Linked DNA regions of Caenorhabditis elegans. The protein of the gene in region 2 purifies or fractionates together with the protein of the main gene of each other region. This does not show direct contact. Each region holds a gene or a part of one and is shown on either strand. Other genes may lie near its edges.

Region 1 (8,991 bases), on a different chromosome or scaffold from region 2:
TCTGCCTGCATTGGAAACGGGCCATTGCGGCGGAGAGGACAAATGAATGGGAAAAGAGACAAGAAAAGAAGGAATAGTGGAAAATACAAGAAGACTACGGTAGATATAGACCATATCAGAGCTTCATTATGACTATTTGAATAAAGTATTTGAAGGAAATTTAATATAGCAAAAATATTTCAGCGCAACAACATTTAATGCTAGTTTAAGAAAAAAATGAATACTATACATAAATTTTATATTCTATAAAAATCTTCTTCGACTGCGACGAAATGAATGGTGCAGTCATTCGCTTCAAAATTGCATTTAAGCTGTGGTTTTTCGGCAGGGATTGAGAAAAACCGAGTTATATTTAAGAAATGCATTTTAAAATATTTTTTGAAGAAAAATGTCAATTTAAGAATATAGAAAAGAAGATCGAACATTGAGACTCGTCGGCGCCGAGTATTAAAAATCTGACGAAAATTACAGTACTACTCCGATTCGCTGCGGGACCCGTGCTTTATTTTCACGTATGGTCCTTTCGATTATTGACTTTTTGTATCTTGCAGCTGGAGCCTTATTAGCTTGCGTCCAAGTTTTATCAAAGTTTTATTCCATTTTATCTGTATTTTTGTTCTACTAATTAGTTTAAAGCATGTATGAATATTCTTTCAACCCAAATATCGATCATGAGCCCGGATCTGTAAGCTTAATATTGCTGATTCAAATCTAATTTTGCAATTTTCAGGTAGAATCTCAACAATCCACTATTTATTCGGATTCTGATGATTCTGATGACAGTTTTCTTGACGATGAAGTAATACCACCGAAGGAACAAGCTATGAGAAAAATTGAATTCGCTCTTGCAGATATTAAAAGGCAAATGGATAACAAAGAGAAATCGTTGACTTTGAGAATGTAATAAGTTCCTGTTGAAAATGTTTGAGTAATTTTGTTTTTTTTTTCAGATCGACTAGTAAATCACATTTTTGCCTTCGTTATACAGCAAAGAGGAAAGGAAAATTGGATAGAGATTTGCACTGTCTTCACCAAGTTTATGATTTGCTCGAAAATGACAAAAGATCAACGAAAAGAGAATTGTATTATGAACATAAAGCAGTTTATGGAAACCAGAAATATTTAGACAGTTCAATAAAATCAATTTGTGAGCTTTTGAATGAAAGTCGGGCTAATTTAAACATTGTCAGTGTGACATTAATAAACAAGAAATAATTTCCAAATTTCAGCTCTCTTGTGGACGCGGGATAATTCGTGGAGCAATTACTTTTTTAGTTGAGAATGTTGGTGTAATTGATGCGAGAGTTCAAGAAGTTTTGATCACAGGTAAGGTAATAAAAAACATTTAAAAATGATCAACGCTGGTGTTTCAGATGCACTGTTATTTTCGAATATAATATCAGAAGCCGATTTCATACTTGTTGTTGAGAAAGACACAACTTTTCAAAAATTAATGGATGAAAATTTTCAAGCAATGTTTCCACGTGGGATTCTAGCAACTTCGAAAGGATATCCGGATATTGCAACTCGAAATGTTCTGAAAATGTTGAGTGAAAAAAGAAAATTTCCAATATACGGACTGTTTGACGCTGATCCGCATGGTGAATTTTTAATAAAGGATTTAAAAAATAACTATATTAAAAATAGTAATACTTAAATTCAATTAAGGTATTGAAATCTACTTGACTTACAAATATGGACCTACGAAAGAATTTGCCGAAGGCCGAGGAGCCTTTGTTCCAACGATTGAATGGATCGGGTAAGACGATTTTATATTTATTTTCATAATTTCAACAAATTTCCAGTCTTTTCCCAACTGATTTTCATCGTTTCACCATCGATCAATCACAATGTCTTCCATTGGTTCGAACTGATTTTGTGAAAATTGAGAAGATGATTCCTCGATCGATTCAACTCGGAGAAATAGTGGTGACACGAGAATTAGACTGGATGATTCAGAATAAATTTAAAATGGAACTTGAATCAATAAATATGTGCGGACAGGAGTATATGGCTCGATTCTTGATTGCTCCGAGAGTCATGTCGATAGAAAAAGAAATTCCGATTCAACCAGAGACGATTATAAACGAGTACCACGAAGATTCACAATGTTCGCTGTCGACAGATGATGATCGGGAAGCAAAAGACGATGACTATATAGATTCGGATGCTGAAGAAAAGTTCCAGAATATGATAGATAATGATAGTGATTGAAAATAATATGAAACAGATTTTATTTTAGTTTCAAATGCAATATATTGCAATTACAACCACAAAAGGGGAAAGGAACCGTAAAGTGTTCGAGAAGTACTGAGACTGAGAAGTGGGGGGAGAAACAACATTAAATAAATAGAAAACAACACAAGTTATCTTATCTTATCACAATATCATCGAGTGCATAAAGCTAATGGAATGGGGAGATGTTTTACATTGTTTAGAGCTCAGAGTGCTCCTCCTCAATCGTTGTTTCTTCAGCGGCTTCTGGCTCTGGTTCAGCCTCTTCAATATGCTGTTCGGTTTCAACTTGAGCATCTTGGGAAACATCGAGCGATTGGCGAAGGACAGCTTCGATTCTATCAGCAAAACCAACTTGATCTTGAAGTGAGAATCCAGAACGAAGAGTGGCAGTTTCGAAGAGAAGCTTGGCAGTAGAAGCAGCGGTGGTATCTTCTTCAGAAGCAGTGACTCTCTTGAGAAGCTCCTTGATAACTGGATGGCGTGGGTTAATCTCGAATGTCTTTTTCTGAGTAGCATAGAAGTCTTGAGTTGGATCCTTTGCCTTAGCATAAGCTTGCGACTTCATAATGCGCTCCATGTTTCCAGACCATCCGTAGGAAGAGGCAACAAGGGCAGATGGTGATTTGACAAGACGTTGAGAAACAACTGCTTTCTCGATCAGATCCTTGAGTGCAGTTTCCTTGAGCCAGTCAGTAAGTGGCTTGAACTCCTCTTCAAGACCCTTGTGGGCTTCCTTGGCCTTCTCTCCATCATCGATGGTAACTCCTTCCTGAAAAATAGCATGTTGATAGGTAAAACATCATAGCCACTAAAGAAAAAAGCCTTCAATACTCACCTTAGCCACATTTTGGAACTTCTTTGATTCATATTCTGGCATAGCTTGAATACAGTACTCATCAACAGCTTCGGTGAGGAACAAAACTTCGTATCCCTTAGCGATGAGTCTCTCTACGAATGGAGAAGTTTCAACTTCCTTTCTGGAAGTTCCAGCCATGTAGTAAATGGCGTCTTGCTTTTCTTTCATTCTTTCGACATAGGCGGCAAGAGTAGTTGTTTTGTCAGCATCATTAGAAGACTGGAAGCGGAGAAGTTTAGCAAGACGCATACGGTTGGATGGATCCTCCATAACTCCCAACTTGATATTGGTAGAGAACTCGCTCCAGAAGTCATCGAATTGGGCTCCGTCGAGTTTCTTGAGCATGTCGAGCACTTTACGGACAAGTTTCTTCTTGATAACCTTGAGAAGTTTGTGCTGTTGGAGGTTTTCACGGGAGACATTGAGTGGGAGATCATCTGAATCAACGATACCGCGAATGAAGGAAAGATACTTTGGAAGCATATCGGCAAAATCGTCAGTGATGAAGACACGACGAACGTACAATTTGATGTTTTCGATAACTTTTCCGTAGTTCTGAAATAACATTATTAGTTGAAAATAACTAAACGCAATTAAAACAAATGCTATATAACTTTCAATATTCTTACCTGGAACATGTCATTTGGAGACTTCTTTGGAACGTAGAGGATAGATCTGAAGGAAACTTCTCCTTCAGCACTGAAATGCACGTGACTCAGTGGCTCTTCCGAATCCTTGGTGATACTCTTGTAGAATTGCTTGTATTCGTCTTCTTCGACCTGATTTGGTTTGCGCATCCAAATAGGTTTAACGTTGTTGACCTTCTCCCAATCCCAGGTGGTCTTCTCAACCTTCTTGGTTTTCTTTTCTTCCTTCTCTTCTTCAACAGCTCCGTCTTCAGTGGTGGCTGGTTCCTCTTCAACTGCTTCTTCCACCATTTCAGTTTTGGATTGCCAGAGGAAAATGTCAAAGTTGATGAATTGGGAATACTTGTGCACCAAGTTCTTGAGGGTATCTGGCTCCAAGAAATCTGCTGCCTCCTCCTTGAGGTACAATGTAATCTGAGTTCCGCGCTTCAATGTGTTTCCACGTGGGTCTTTGCTGATGGTGAAGCTAGCTGAATCAGATTCCCAAATGTACTGATCATCATCGTTGTTCTTGGTGGTTACGACAACACGGTCGGCAACAAGGAAGGCAGCGTAGAATCCGACTCCGAATTGTCCAATAAGATCTTGTTGCTGGTCAGAAGAAGTGGCAGTGTCCATAAGTTTGGATAAGAATTCTGAAGTTCCAGAGCGTGCAATAGTTCCCAAATTGTTGATCAAATCTTGACGAGTCATACCAACTCCTGTGTCGGTAATGTGAAGAAGGCGGTTTTCACGATCAGCCTTGATTTTAACAGACATCTCTTCAGTCTCACGGAGTTGCTCTGGATCGGTGAGGGAAAGAAGACGAATTTTGTCGAGAGCATCGGAAGCATTAGAAATAAGCTCACGGAGGAAAATCTCCTTATTTCTGTAGAGAGAGTTGATAATAAGTTTCATCATTCGGTTTACTTCGGCTTGGAATTCGTGTTTCTCGGCTTTTGAGCGGAGCTCCTTGATCTGGGAGACAGATAGTCCATCGAGCTTGATCGAATCTTCCTCTCTGAAAATATTATTTATCAATTTCAATTTTTTTTGTTAACTAGTTATATTTTTAAATTGTTTTAAACTGTATTGTGTTTTAATTGTACAGTTTTGATCTTTAATTTTCCAAAATTTTATCAGAAACCCTAGAAAATAATGCGTTCACTTCTAATCCGTGTATGGCATCCCTAATACTACACCTTCCATTAGCAGAAGATTAAATCTTGTGATTCGTATCTCCGTCCTTGACAGGCTATTACGTGAATCTAGGAAAGCATACGTTAAATTATCTAGGTCGGAGATAACCCTTTTAGTCTCTCTTGACCCTTCAGCCGATTTTTCTTATTTGAGAAAAAGGAAACACAAACAAGATAAGATAACCTAGCAGTAGATCGAGTCTGTTTGCATTCCGACAAAGGGCAAGACTCAATCAAATAGTGCTCCGCGGGAGTACAAAATAGTGTGCAAAACGGATGAGAGTCACCAAGTGGACTGACGCGACCTGGTACCGTTCAAAAGTTTTGGCTGAGGCCGGGGGTAGACAAATATTGAGATAGTTCAGAGTAACCAGGAAAAGGAACAGACACGTAGTGACAGGTCAATTTATTTGGAAAGTGGAAGAAAATGTGATTTATCTTTTTGGAACACTTAATCCAGCTAAAACTGTAACTATTCAATATTAAGAGCGAAAAACGAATTCGAAAGATATTTCTGATATATTAGATCTAATTAAAAATTAACAAGGTTATTGATTCTGATTTCGACATATTCACGAAATTGTTCAAAAAATGTACGAAACACAATTCAAAATTCTCTAGACTTTTTCAAATTGCAATTTTTCATAATAATCAAATTATCAAAAATTACCTTGTTTCTTCTTTGGTTTCCTTTGGTGCGTCTTCGATTTCATCTTCGGCGTAGACATTTGGAATGAAGGCTGAAAAGTGATGATTGTTGGGAATAAAAACGTGAATTCAAAAACTGCGTGGCGTGTATGCACAGAATGAAAAAATAAAGCCTAATGTTTTTATTCTGTGAACACAGTTTTAATATTTTCAGCGTACATTTAAGCTTAAAAATTTTTTTTACAATTTCAAAACTACGGTTTTCTATTTAAAGCTCACTAAGCTCTGAAAATCAATAAAAAGACATACCTGAAACAGCCAGAAGGGCGACGAAGCCCACCAAAAGGAATCTCATCGCCGTCTCTTCCTAACGACCGAGAATAAATGGAATGAGGTGTCTTTCCAACGGTCAATTACTCCCCTTTTCTCTCCGCTTGTTTGCTTTCTTTCGCCGGGGCTCACCCCTTCTCGACGTGTCCCTAAAAGTCCCGCCCCAATTTGCAAGTGCCGCACAGTGTCTGCGTCTCTTGCAAACACGTTGTCCTTCACTGAAAACTGCAAACTGCGGCGCGTTACTAGTTGCAAACAGAGGCGGAATCAGCCAATCAACGACCGAGACGACAGCTCAGAACACGTGGAGTGAGTGTCCTGGAACATTGTTTTTGTTTGCCGGATCCAGCAATATGGAATATGTTAATTTAAAAGACGATTTTTCAGTCTTTCTATTATAACAGTCACTCAAGTAATGTTCGGATCATCTAAATTAATCCTTATAGAAATTAATCATCTCACTTGTCTTGAGAATTTGTGAAATTTGTGATCGTTACTCAGCAAACTTACTTGTTTATCCGTCTCATAAACCGGTTTCTCATCTCAATCAGGCAATATACCTCCATTTCTTAATCTCAGTTTTTCCAGTTGGGAATTCAAACCTTTCGCGACATGGCTGAAGCAGCGACCGAAATCCCGCCGACGGCTAGCAATGTCACAGTTTTTACATTCGAAGAACAGGTGAGATTTTTACTGAAATTTTGTAAAATAAATGAAGTGGACAAGTATAAAATTACAACGAAGTTTTTATTAAATGTGATAAATAGCCATGCGAACTTTTTTAAATCAATTTTTCATTCAGGCTACAAGCTCGTTGGCGCTTTACGGAATGTCTATCCTCTGCATCATCATTGGATCGATTCGTTCAGCTCAATACATAAGGACGAATATTGACAAGAAGCGACTTATTGAAGGTTCGATCACTATGAGAGAAGCCAGGAAATTCCCTATTTCTGCTTCTCTGGTTCTCTTCGGTCTCTACCTCTTCTTCAAGCCTGCCGCCGAACGCTTCCTTTGGGTTGCCAGAGTCTTCCAAATTCTGCGAGTTCCCGAAGAATATGTCCAGAAGATCAATAGCACTATTATCAGCTATACCGCTAATACTACGACTACTGGGCCTTCCGAGCCATTCTTGCTCCGCTTGGCGTCAAGGATACCTCAAGAACGCGTTCCAGAAGCAATTCAAAATGCGGCTACATACGCTTATACCAACTTACCAACAATTCAAAAAGCAGAATGTATGCAACTCTTGACTTTCCTCATCTGTTTCGAAGGAGTCAACGCTTTCGCGTCTCTGTTGAAGCCATTTGTTACCGCGTTTCTCAAAAAGATGCCACTGGTTCCATCCTTCTTAAGATTCAATGCTCCGTACTTATTCTCTCTCAAAAAGGGAAATAAGGAAATGGAAGAGGGTGATATCGAAGATGCGAAGAAAAAGGAAACGGAATATCTTTTCAAAATTGACTTTGATCGTTACGATATCATCGCTTTATTGATGTGCTCTCCAATTCTCATTTCTCACCTGCTGAAAAGACACTGGATCACCAATAATATTATCGGAGTGAGCTTCTCAATCTTGGGAATCGAACGTCTTCATTTGGCCAGTTTCAAGGTAAATTTAACAATTATTAAAAAATATAGCAATATTTTTGTAATAAGACAAAAAAGCTACAATTACGCTTACTGAATGGAAGAATAATTTCAATTGACCAGATAGTAATAATATATTTTTGAACTAACTTGAAATATTTGGACAAAGTAAATAGTTCTCAATTTTGGCCTAAAGCTGTTTAAAAGAAACTTTTAAATATCAAACCGTTATTTGCAAAAATAGGTTTTAAAAAAATTTCATTGAAAAGACTAATTAATATCATTATTAATTTTTTTTACAGGCTGGATCCCTTCTTCTCGTTGGTCTCTTTTTCTATGACATCTTCTGGGTTTTCGGAACAGACGTGATGACATCTGTCGCAAAAGGAATTGATGCTCCGATTTTGCTCCAATTCCCTCAAGATATCTATCGAAATGGAATAATGGAAGCCAGTAAGCACAGTATGCTTGGGCTTGGAGACATTGTTATCCCTGGAATCTTCATTGCTCTCCTTCGTCGGTTCGACTACAGAGTTGTTCAAACGACTGCCGAGTCGAAGGCTCCACAAGGATCCTTGAAAGGACGATACTACTTCGTGGTTACTGTCGTCGCTTACATGGCTGGACTTTTCATCACTATGGCTGTTATGCATCACTTCAAGGCTGCTCAACCAGCTCTTCTCTATTTGGTGCCGTGTTGTCTTTTCGTACCCCTCCTTCTTGCTGTGATCCGTGGAGAACTTTCGGCTTTATGGAACTACGATGAATCAAGACATGTGGATAACGAAGAAAATCGAAAGAAAGTAGACTCCGGCAAGAAAAATAACTAAATGATTTAAAATAGTCTAAAGTATGCTATTCCTGCTTGTTATTCTGTTTTCGAAGAATACTTGAATTGGAAAACCTAACTTATCGTACTTTTGACTATTTCTAGATATTCTAGTCATTTAATTCAACTCGATTCCATGTCCCACCACATCCTAGCATAATCATTCTGATTCCTGTCCTTTCCATTGTTATCTTCCGTTTTCCCGGGTCTTTTTAGCTTTTCCAACCCCCTTACTGTCCTGTTTGAACCAAAAAAGGTATTTTGTTTTCATATTTATTTACATGTATTTAGTAACTTATTCTATAAATGCATTGAATTTATTTATACGTTCATCTTTTTTTAAATATATACAGACCACAATAACGAAGTAGCTATCAAATGTCATTCAGAAAATCAAAATATCCTGTTACATTATTAGCTAACATATCAACATAATAAGGTGAAAGAGTTTTGGGGATGACACCCGCGAAAGAGCAATATTTTTGAAAAGTGAAAAGAAATTGGTCGAAATGTGAAAGTTTTAGAGTGATGTACTTGTTACTTTGGACTGTCGTTTTTTATTTTTGTGAACGAGAACGAATGCAGAACCAAACAGACTACACACGAAAGCTGCCCACTGTAGGAGGGAAGAAAAACCAAAAACATAATATGCCCAACCGTAATGAATCTGAAATT
Region 2 (7,140 bases):
GGAAAGAAGACATAATTTCAGCAAAATTTTCAAATTTTGCCAACTGAACAAATTCAGAACATGCGGAAGTTGGTTCTAGTTCGAATGTCATCTTCAATGCTTATTTTGATAATAGAGATCTTTTTCGGTCGATGGGTGCACAAATATTACACAATTTTGTACACCCGTCGGCCGGTAAGGTACCTTAATCAACAAAAAAACTATTTTAGAAATTTCCAGAACGTTTCATTATGAAATCTGGTAGGCTTGGCCCATTTTGGGTATAAAACAGCAAACTCTCAAAATTCGGTACTCCACCTTTCATGAATTGTTAATCTGGATGAATTAACTAAATTGAAACGACTTCTAACGAACATTGGAGTTTGGGTATCGTGAGAACACATTTTTTTTCAGTGGTTAGAAAGAGTGCAAGTTCACACGTTGCTGCAAAATGAGTCAGAATAAGATGAGGAATTGTTAATGTGCAAAAAACTTCCACCAATGTGAAGGAAAACTATAAATAGGTATTCATATTCTACTAGCGAAATAAGTTATGAAATTTTGAGCAAGTCTAATATAAAGTCATAAAAAACAATTTTTGTATTTTTTCGCTCAGTTTCGAAACAATCATAATTTCACAACAGTGCATAGTTCTTTCTCGTGTTCAAGTTCAAAATAATAAACTTAGAATGGTCATGGATAAGAATACAAATATCAATGAGCGGTTAACAAGAGTAGGAAAGTGTTATGAAGCTCGAAAAAATAAGTAAGTACTGTGAAATTGTAAAGCATGCTGAATTTCACAACAGCACAACAGCACATCACTCTTGAAACTAAAACAGCTGCCATCGTTATCAGAATTATTTTCATAAGATAACATGACCTAATTATTATTATTTCAACGAATTCAGCTCCAAAAAACGACAAAGAGCTTCAACTCTGTTGTACCGACGCTCCGCCCACATTTTCATCAAAAGAACTTTGTCGGCATTGACCGATAAATTCCACATTTAACGATTTTCGGAGAATTGTTCACGACCATCGACACTGTTTTGAGTGGTTGGCGACTATCAGCAGGTTTTCAAAAATTGATAAGAAAATATGTGTGAAAACGAAATATGACAAAAATGTACTTGTCGTCAAATGAGATGGTTCAGCTAAGGTACCCTTTTTCAGTTTTTAGTGCATTTTAGATGCTTAGAACCATTTACACAAACAAGAGTATGAGGTTAGTGTTTCGAGATAAGAGAGATGTTTCGTTGTACATGAATTCGAATGGAATGAAAAAGGAACTAAGAACATCTTGAAAACATCCGTCTGTCTATACTTTCAGCTGAATTATTAAAATTCCAGAAAGTGCCACAAACAAAAAACAAATATGCAGTTACTCGGTGACCAGAAATCCAAATGCTTTCTGAATTTAGAACTATAGAAGAGCTTTGCTTAAGAAAACAGTTTAAAACTGTTTTTAACGAGTTTCTATTTTCCCATTGTGACCTTATTTTTCTAGTAATTATTGTGCTCGGAATTTTATTTTCAATCAGCACAACAAACTCAAACATTGCAGATTAAATCAAACTTGTTTTAAATTGGAAATTTGATATTGCTTGATAAATTTCAATATTTGTCACATTAAGGCGACCTCTAATAATTATCTAAAAGTACAAAAACAAACTCATCAACATTTTCATAAGTCTATTAATGTCTTCTACTATTTTTAAAATGAATATAGCAATTGTTATAAAAATGTGTGAAGCAAAACAAATTTTTCTAAAGTTTCTGTAACTTTAAAATGTATTTTTCTACATATAATTCCTTGAAAAATCAAATATTAAAAATAAAAGCGCATCCCAATATTCAAAACACTGGTCGTGTGTTTAAAAAAATTGGTAAATCATGAATTTATTGAAAACGTCTTGTTTGAAAAAGAATCTGTAAAATATTCTGAAACAATCAACATTTCGGAAATTTATTTTAAAAAATCGCAAACAACTCTTTTGAATATGAATATGAAAATGAAAATGAATATGAATTATGAATATGAACTAGGAGCACGTAACCTTGAAAAAGCTCAGAACAAATGGTGTGGTTGAATGTGAACATAAACCAGAAAAAAAAACAATCTAAACATATCAGTTCATAACTTTGTTTCTTGACTAATAGTGGTGAAAATCACCAAATTTTACTTATTTGATCTGACCAGCACAAGTTTTCTGCTTCTTTGGTTTTGTATCCCTTTGTGCCCGAGTAATTGAATTGGTAACGTTTGAATTATTAAGTTGCTCTAGCAGCTGAAAGTTATTAAAAATATATCTTACATCGATATTAAATATTTCTCAACCCTTAGTTCCGTATTGAAAAAGAAAATCAAGAATTTGAAAACCTTCAACCGAAGATTTTTGATTTTCACTTTTAATAATCCATAGCTTCCTGAAATACTTTATTTAACAAAACAGAGAACAAAAATAAATAAATACGAGAAAAATCGCTAAAGTCACAAAACATGTATGGATGTAACGCAGTTAGACGAGTTATCTGGTGAGAACACCCGTTACAATTAAAACAAAATTGCATGGTGAGAGTAAGTTTTTGGTGTCGATGTATGTAGAAAATTCATGATTTTAAAGCTCGGTCTTATCGAGGTCAATGTCAGACAAGTCGATGTCGTCTTCAGCTGGAAGGGCTCCGTCCTTTCCGTCCCACTTCTCAGTCTTCTGAATCTTTGGGAATCCATCTCCTCGAAGGGAAGAAGTGCGTCCCTTTCCATACGAGAGATCACGGAGGAACTCGTGGATTCCATCTTTTCCGAAGGATCCCTTGAGCACGGCGTACTTGTTCTTGCGGAAGTTCAAAGCAGTCATGGCTGGATATCCAAAACCTCCAACTTCGAAGGACTCCTCAAGAGCTGGCTGAGCGGCTCCTTCAACCCAAATCCATCTGAAATTATTTAAATTAGAATGAAATTTTGTAAAATTATATAAAACATACCCCCAAAGGTTCTTCTTGAATTTCTCGGATTGCTCCTTGAGCATAGCCAAATAATTGTTTCTGCACTCCGATTGGCAGTCAAGAATGTGTGGGAGGAAGGCAAAAATGCAAAGCTGTTTCTCCTTGCATGCATCCTCTACGACTTGTTGGTTGATTCCTTCAAAGACCTCTGGAGCTGGCATGTTTTCTTGAGCACGAGCTGAAGCCCAGGCAACGATGTCAGAAGATTGACGTCCTCCATCGTAGTCTTGAGCGTCAGAAACATCAGATCCTGGAGCGAAATACTTGATGGTTGGGAATCCACGAATGGCGAACTTGTTGGCGACGACAGTATGAACAGTGGCGTCGAGAGCTCCGAGACGAACTTTGCCCTTGAGTTCAGAAGCGGCGGCCTTCCATTGTGGCTCAAGGCTTTTGCAGTGTCCGCACCATGGGGCAAAGAACTCGACAAGCCAGATATCCTTGCTGTTGAGAACGAGATCCTCGAAGTTGGCATCAGTAAGTTCAACAACTTCATTTCCAGATCCACCTCCTCCACGCTTTCCAGATCCAGATCCGGATCCACTGCTGCTGCTTCCTGATGATTTTCCTCCAAGCCGAGCAGAGACTGCCTTTTTGGCTTCAGCGAGAACCGAGTCAGCGATTGCCTGAGCAGTTCTTTGTCCTGCAAAAATAAATCAATATCATCTTGGTCTTTTTACACACATACACAGACACACGCACGCTCTAAATGACCCAGATCGCTCAGAGGCCGGCGTCTCTCCTATCTTCCACCCTATAGACTGGTACGCACAATTACTTTGCCGCAAGGTCGTCCACATCTATAGAGCGGATCGGCCAAACATAATATCTGAGCAAACAGTTACTAAACACACAACTAGTTGCGGCCAGCTCAATTGACTGACCGACAGTGCACACAGAAAATAGTTCGAGTGGGGAGAGGGTGGAAATGAGACAAATCAGTTTTTGTTTGCCGTACCGGCTTGTGACTATTGTCCTTTTTCAGTTATTTTTGTGCAAGTTTGTCGACAACCAATCCAAATTTCCGCTTGTAAATTATTAAGAAGAAATTGGATAATTGCTTACCGTTGTAGTCTGTTGGCTTCTTCTTGTCGGCTCCGAAGATCTTGAGAGTTGGGAATCCTTGAACATTGTATGGTCCTCCGACGGATTGATGTTGAGTCATATCAACGGCTCCAACCTTGGCGACTCCCTTGAGTGCTGAAGCAGCTTTCTTGTATTCTGGGACCAGACTCTTGCAGTGACCGCACCATGGAGCATAGAACTCAACAATCCAAATATCATCAGAGTTGATAACCTTTGATTGGAAATTGGCCTCGGTCAGCTCGACGACATCATCCTTTTTTGAGTACATTCCACATACCGAAGTTATCGCTGCAAAATTTTAATTAATTTAATATTAGTTTTGTATAAAATTCTTTTTTCCTAATCAAAAACACCAAATGAAGAATACTTCACATTTTCTAAAACAAAAACTTACCCAAAGATGCGAGGAGCAACTTGATGAGAGCCATGACGATCCACTAATCTCACTGGTTTGTCTGTGAGACCGTACAGAATGGGGAGCGATTCCAAACTGAGTCAAATGCGTGTACAGAGGGCGGGAGTGTGACGTTGCGCGTCGTGTGTGTGCAGTTGATTGGTCAACGTGTCGTACAGTAGAGCGCTTTGCGCAAATAGTTCTCGCCACGGCCCCGGCACAGGCATTAAATGGAGAGTTGCGAAATGCAATGAGAAAACTATGAGGGTTAGGGAAGACGTTTTAAAAAGAAAAATTTAATAAAAAAAATGTTTTTTTAACAGAATCTATTAATTTATCGAAATAACTGAAAACATTTCGATGATTACACGACAAAATAAAATTCCTCAGTGTTTGTTCTTTCTTGTTTTCAAAAATATTTTTACATCTAACATTTATAAATTGTTTATCTTGAAATAAACTTGTAACACTCTCAATGCCAAAAATAGTTATTTGGAATAAAGGTGTTAATTGAAGATTTCCAACAAAATAATCTTGCGATACGGTCAGTGGACCGTTCTTATTCCTTGTCTACATTAATTACCTACTGGAACTGTTCCCCACGGATGTTTTTGTATACGCATTTGCCGACGATATCAAGATACTCGGTGAAAATTCGGACTCTATGCAAAAAGCGATCAATGTCGTCACTGATTGGTGTGCAAAGTGAAACTTAAACTTGGCCGAGAACAAAACCAATGTCATACACCTCGGGAAGCGCAACCCAAGAACAGATTATCATGCGAATGGAATACAAATAATTAAAAAGTATTCAGTCAACGATCTAGACATTTTCGTGGATTGCAAGCTAAACTTCCAAAAACATATCGAATATGTATCAAATTCTGCTTTCCTCAAGTGTAGACAGCTTCTTCGATGCTTTCGCTTTACCAATGTCAGTTTGTACTTTAAGTTATACAACGTTTACGTTCAACCGCTGCTGAATTACGGATGTGAGGTCTACAACCCTAACTCCAAACGTCTGATAAAGCTACTTGAAATGCCGCTGAAATTCTATTCAAGAAGAGTGTATCAACGATGCAATGTCTCAAACACGTCGTACGATGATCGACTGGCTCAGTCAAATCAAAAATCCATTCAACACCAGCGAATTCTCCAAATATTAAGGACCTACCACAACATCTTATCTGGCGAATACCATTTTCCGGATGTCTCAGCACTAAAGAATTCCTCGGCAATTCCCGACAGCTTCTTCCCCAAGTTTGGGCCTTTTCAGCTTCTTACCCAACTCTTGCCAACTTCTAACCCAGAGTATGCCCAAGTCTTACCCAACTTCAGCAATTCTAGTGTAAACTCCCTCGCCCGAGTTCTGCCCAAGCCTTAGCCAAGTTTTGCCAACTTCTTACCCAAGTTTGCAGATGTAAAGAACGAACAAGATTCCGAAATTCCACATGCGCAATGTTTAGCGTAAATCGACACTTTGTCTTTTGATTAATTTGTATTTACAATAGAGGAATTTCAATGTAATTGAAAGAATTCACAGGAAAACTTGTCCCTTCAAAGGCAAATTCTAAATATTTTTCTTTGATGGCTAACATTGTTAAAGAAAATGTACGAACAGAGTCTGATTTTTATTGCCATTTTATCTAATAAACCATATAATTTATCTAAAAATAAAAAGAAAAGTTATCTTCAGGAAGATTCTTCTCCTAGTCAGTCCAATAGTCAGATAATAGTCAGTCAATCCTATGCATCAAATTTTGAATTTTTCTAAGACTGAACTGTTCCTTTGAAATGTAAACTTTTATAAAATTAAGAGACATGAAACAAACACGAATTACAGTAATTCTCTAAATTCTGAACTTAGAATCATTAGGGAGCACACTTGAAAACAACTGAAACAAGGTATGTGAGAATACCGTATCAATCAGATATGTCTGGTACTTCCTCAAAAATATCTATCAGAATATGAGTACGATATATTATTACTAGTGTGCATCTTTTTGCGCGACCATCATGGCTCAGCAGGTAAGACTTCGGCACAACGGGAAATGAGATCAAAGTTCAACACACAGGTATAAATTGGGTAAGAAATAGGCAAAACTTGGGTAAGACTTGGGTAAGACTTGGGCGACGCTCGGGACGACGAGGCAAGTCGACGACTTTTTTCATTTTTGAGGCGGCGCCAACTCTTGCCCAAGGTTTACCCAAGTCTTGGCAACTCCTTATAAATGTTTTTATTTTTTGGGCAAGACTTGGGTAAGAAGTTGCGAAGCCTTGGGTAGGAAGCTGGCGGCAAACGACGAGAAGTCCCGCTCTCCACGGTTTCCATACATGATGCGTGCCTGTGTACCAATCAACAATAGTTTTCTACTAATGAACCTGCCACTCTGGAACCGACTGGCTCAACATCTATTGAAACCGCTCAGCCGTCAAGCATTCTCGACACGTCTTAATTCTATTCCCCTTGAGTTAATTCTTCCCCCAACTTGATAACCCTAACTATGTCTGGTTTATGTGATCATTTTATTACTCAATCCTTCTCACTGGTTACCTCTATGTCATGCGCTATCTTCTTTTGATTGAATAAATAAATAAATAAATAAATAAATATATATATATATATATTTATACGGGTTAGAGCAGAACTATCGTTTTTCAAAAAGTAAACT

What was found. The genes of interacting proteins can lie anywhere in the genome.
Region 1: the proteins of pdi-6 (region 2) and enpl-1 fractionate together in Caenorhabditis elegans (co-fractionation; one large-scale study listed by BioGRID). This does not show direct contact.

What each region holds. Positions count from the first base shown.
Region 1 is NC_003282.8:11,116,382-11,125,372, reverse strand, and holds enpl-1 (Endoplasmin homolog), read right to left. Parts: upstream 6,076-8,991; 5' UTR 5,923-6,075; coding exon 5,877-5,922; intron 5,660-5,876; coding exon 5,590-5,659; intron 4,742-5,589; coding exon 3,724-4,741; intron 3,650-3,723; coding exon 3,074-3,649; intron 3,008-3,073; coding exon 2,435-3,007; 3' UTR 2,218-2,434; downstream 1-2,217. Other genes in the region: Meiotic recombination protein spo-11, read left to right, coding at 638-685, 731-900, 951-1,185, 1,230-1,326, 1,374-1,601, 1,669-1,759, 1,806-2,214; imp-2 (Intramembrane protease 2), read left to right, coding at 6,510-6,578, 6,700-7,509, 7,790-8,317; clc-9 (CLaudin-like in Caenorhabditis), read right to left, coding at 8,837-8,983. UniProt on the Caenorhabditis elegans protein: Molecular chaperone that functions in the processing and transport of secreted proteins.
Region 2 is NC_003284.9:7,063,939-7,071,078, forward strand, and holds pdi-6 (Protein disulfide-isomerase A6 homolog), read right to left. Parts: upstream 4,626-7,140; 5' UTR 4,503-4,625; coding exon 4,469-4,502; intron 4,363-4,468; coding exon 4,054-4,362; intron 3,972-4,053; exon of another isoform or gene 3,831-3,971; intron 3,632-3,830; coding exon 2,968-3,631; intron 2,917-2,967; coding exon 2,601-2,916; 3' UTR 2,404-2,600; downstream 1-2,403. UniProt on the Caenorhabditis elegans protein: May function as a chaperone that inhibits aggregation of misfolded proteins. May negatively regulate the unfolded protein response (UPR) through binding to UPR sensors.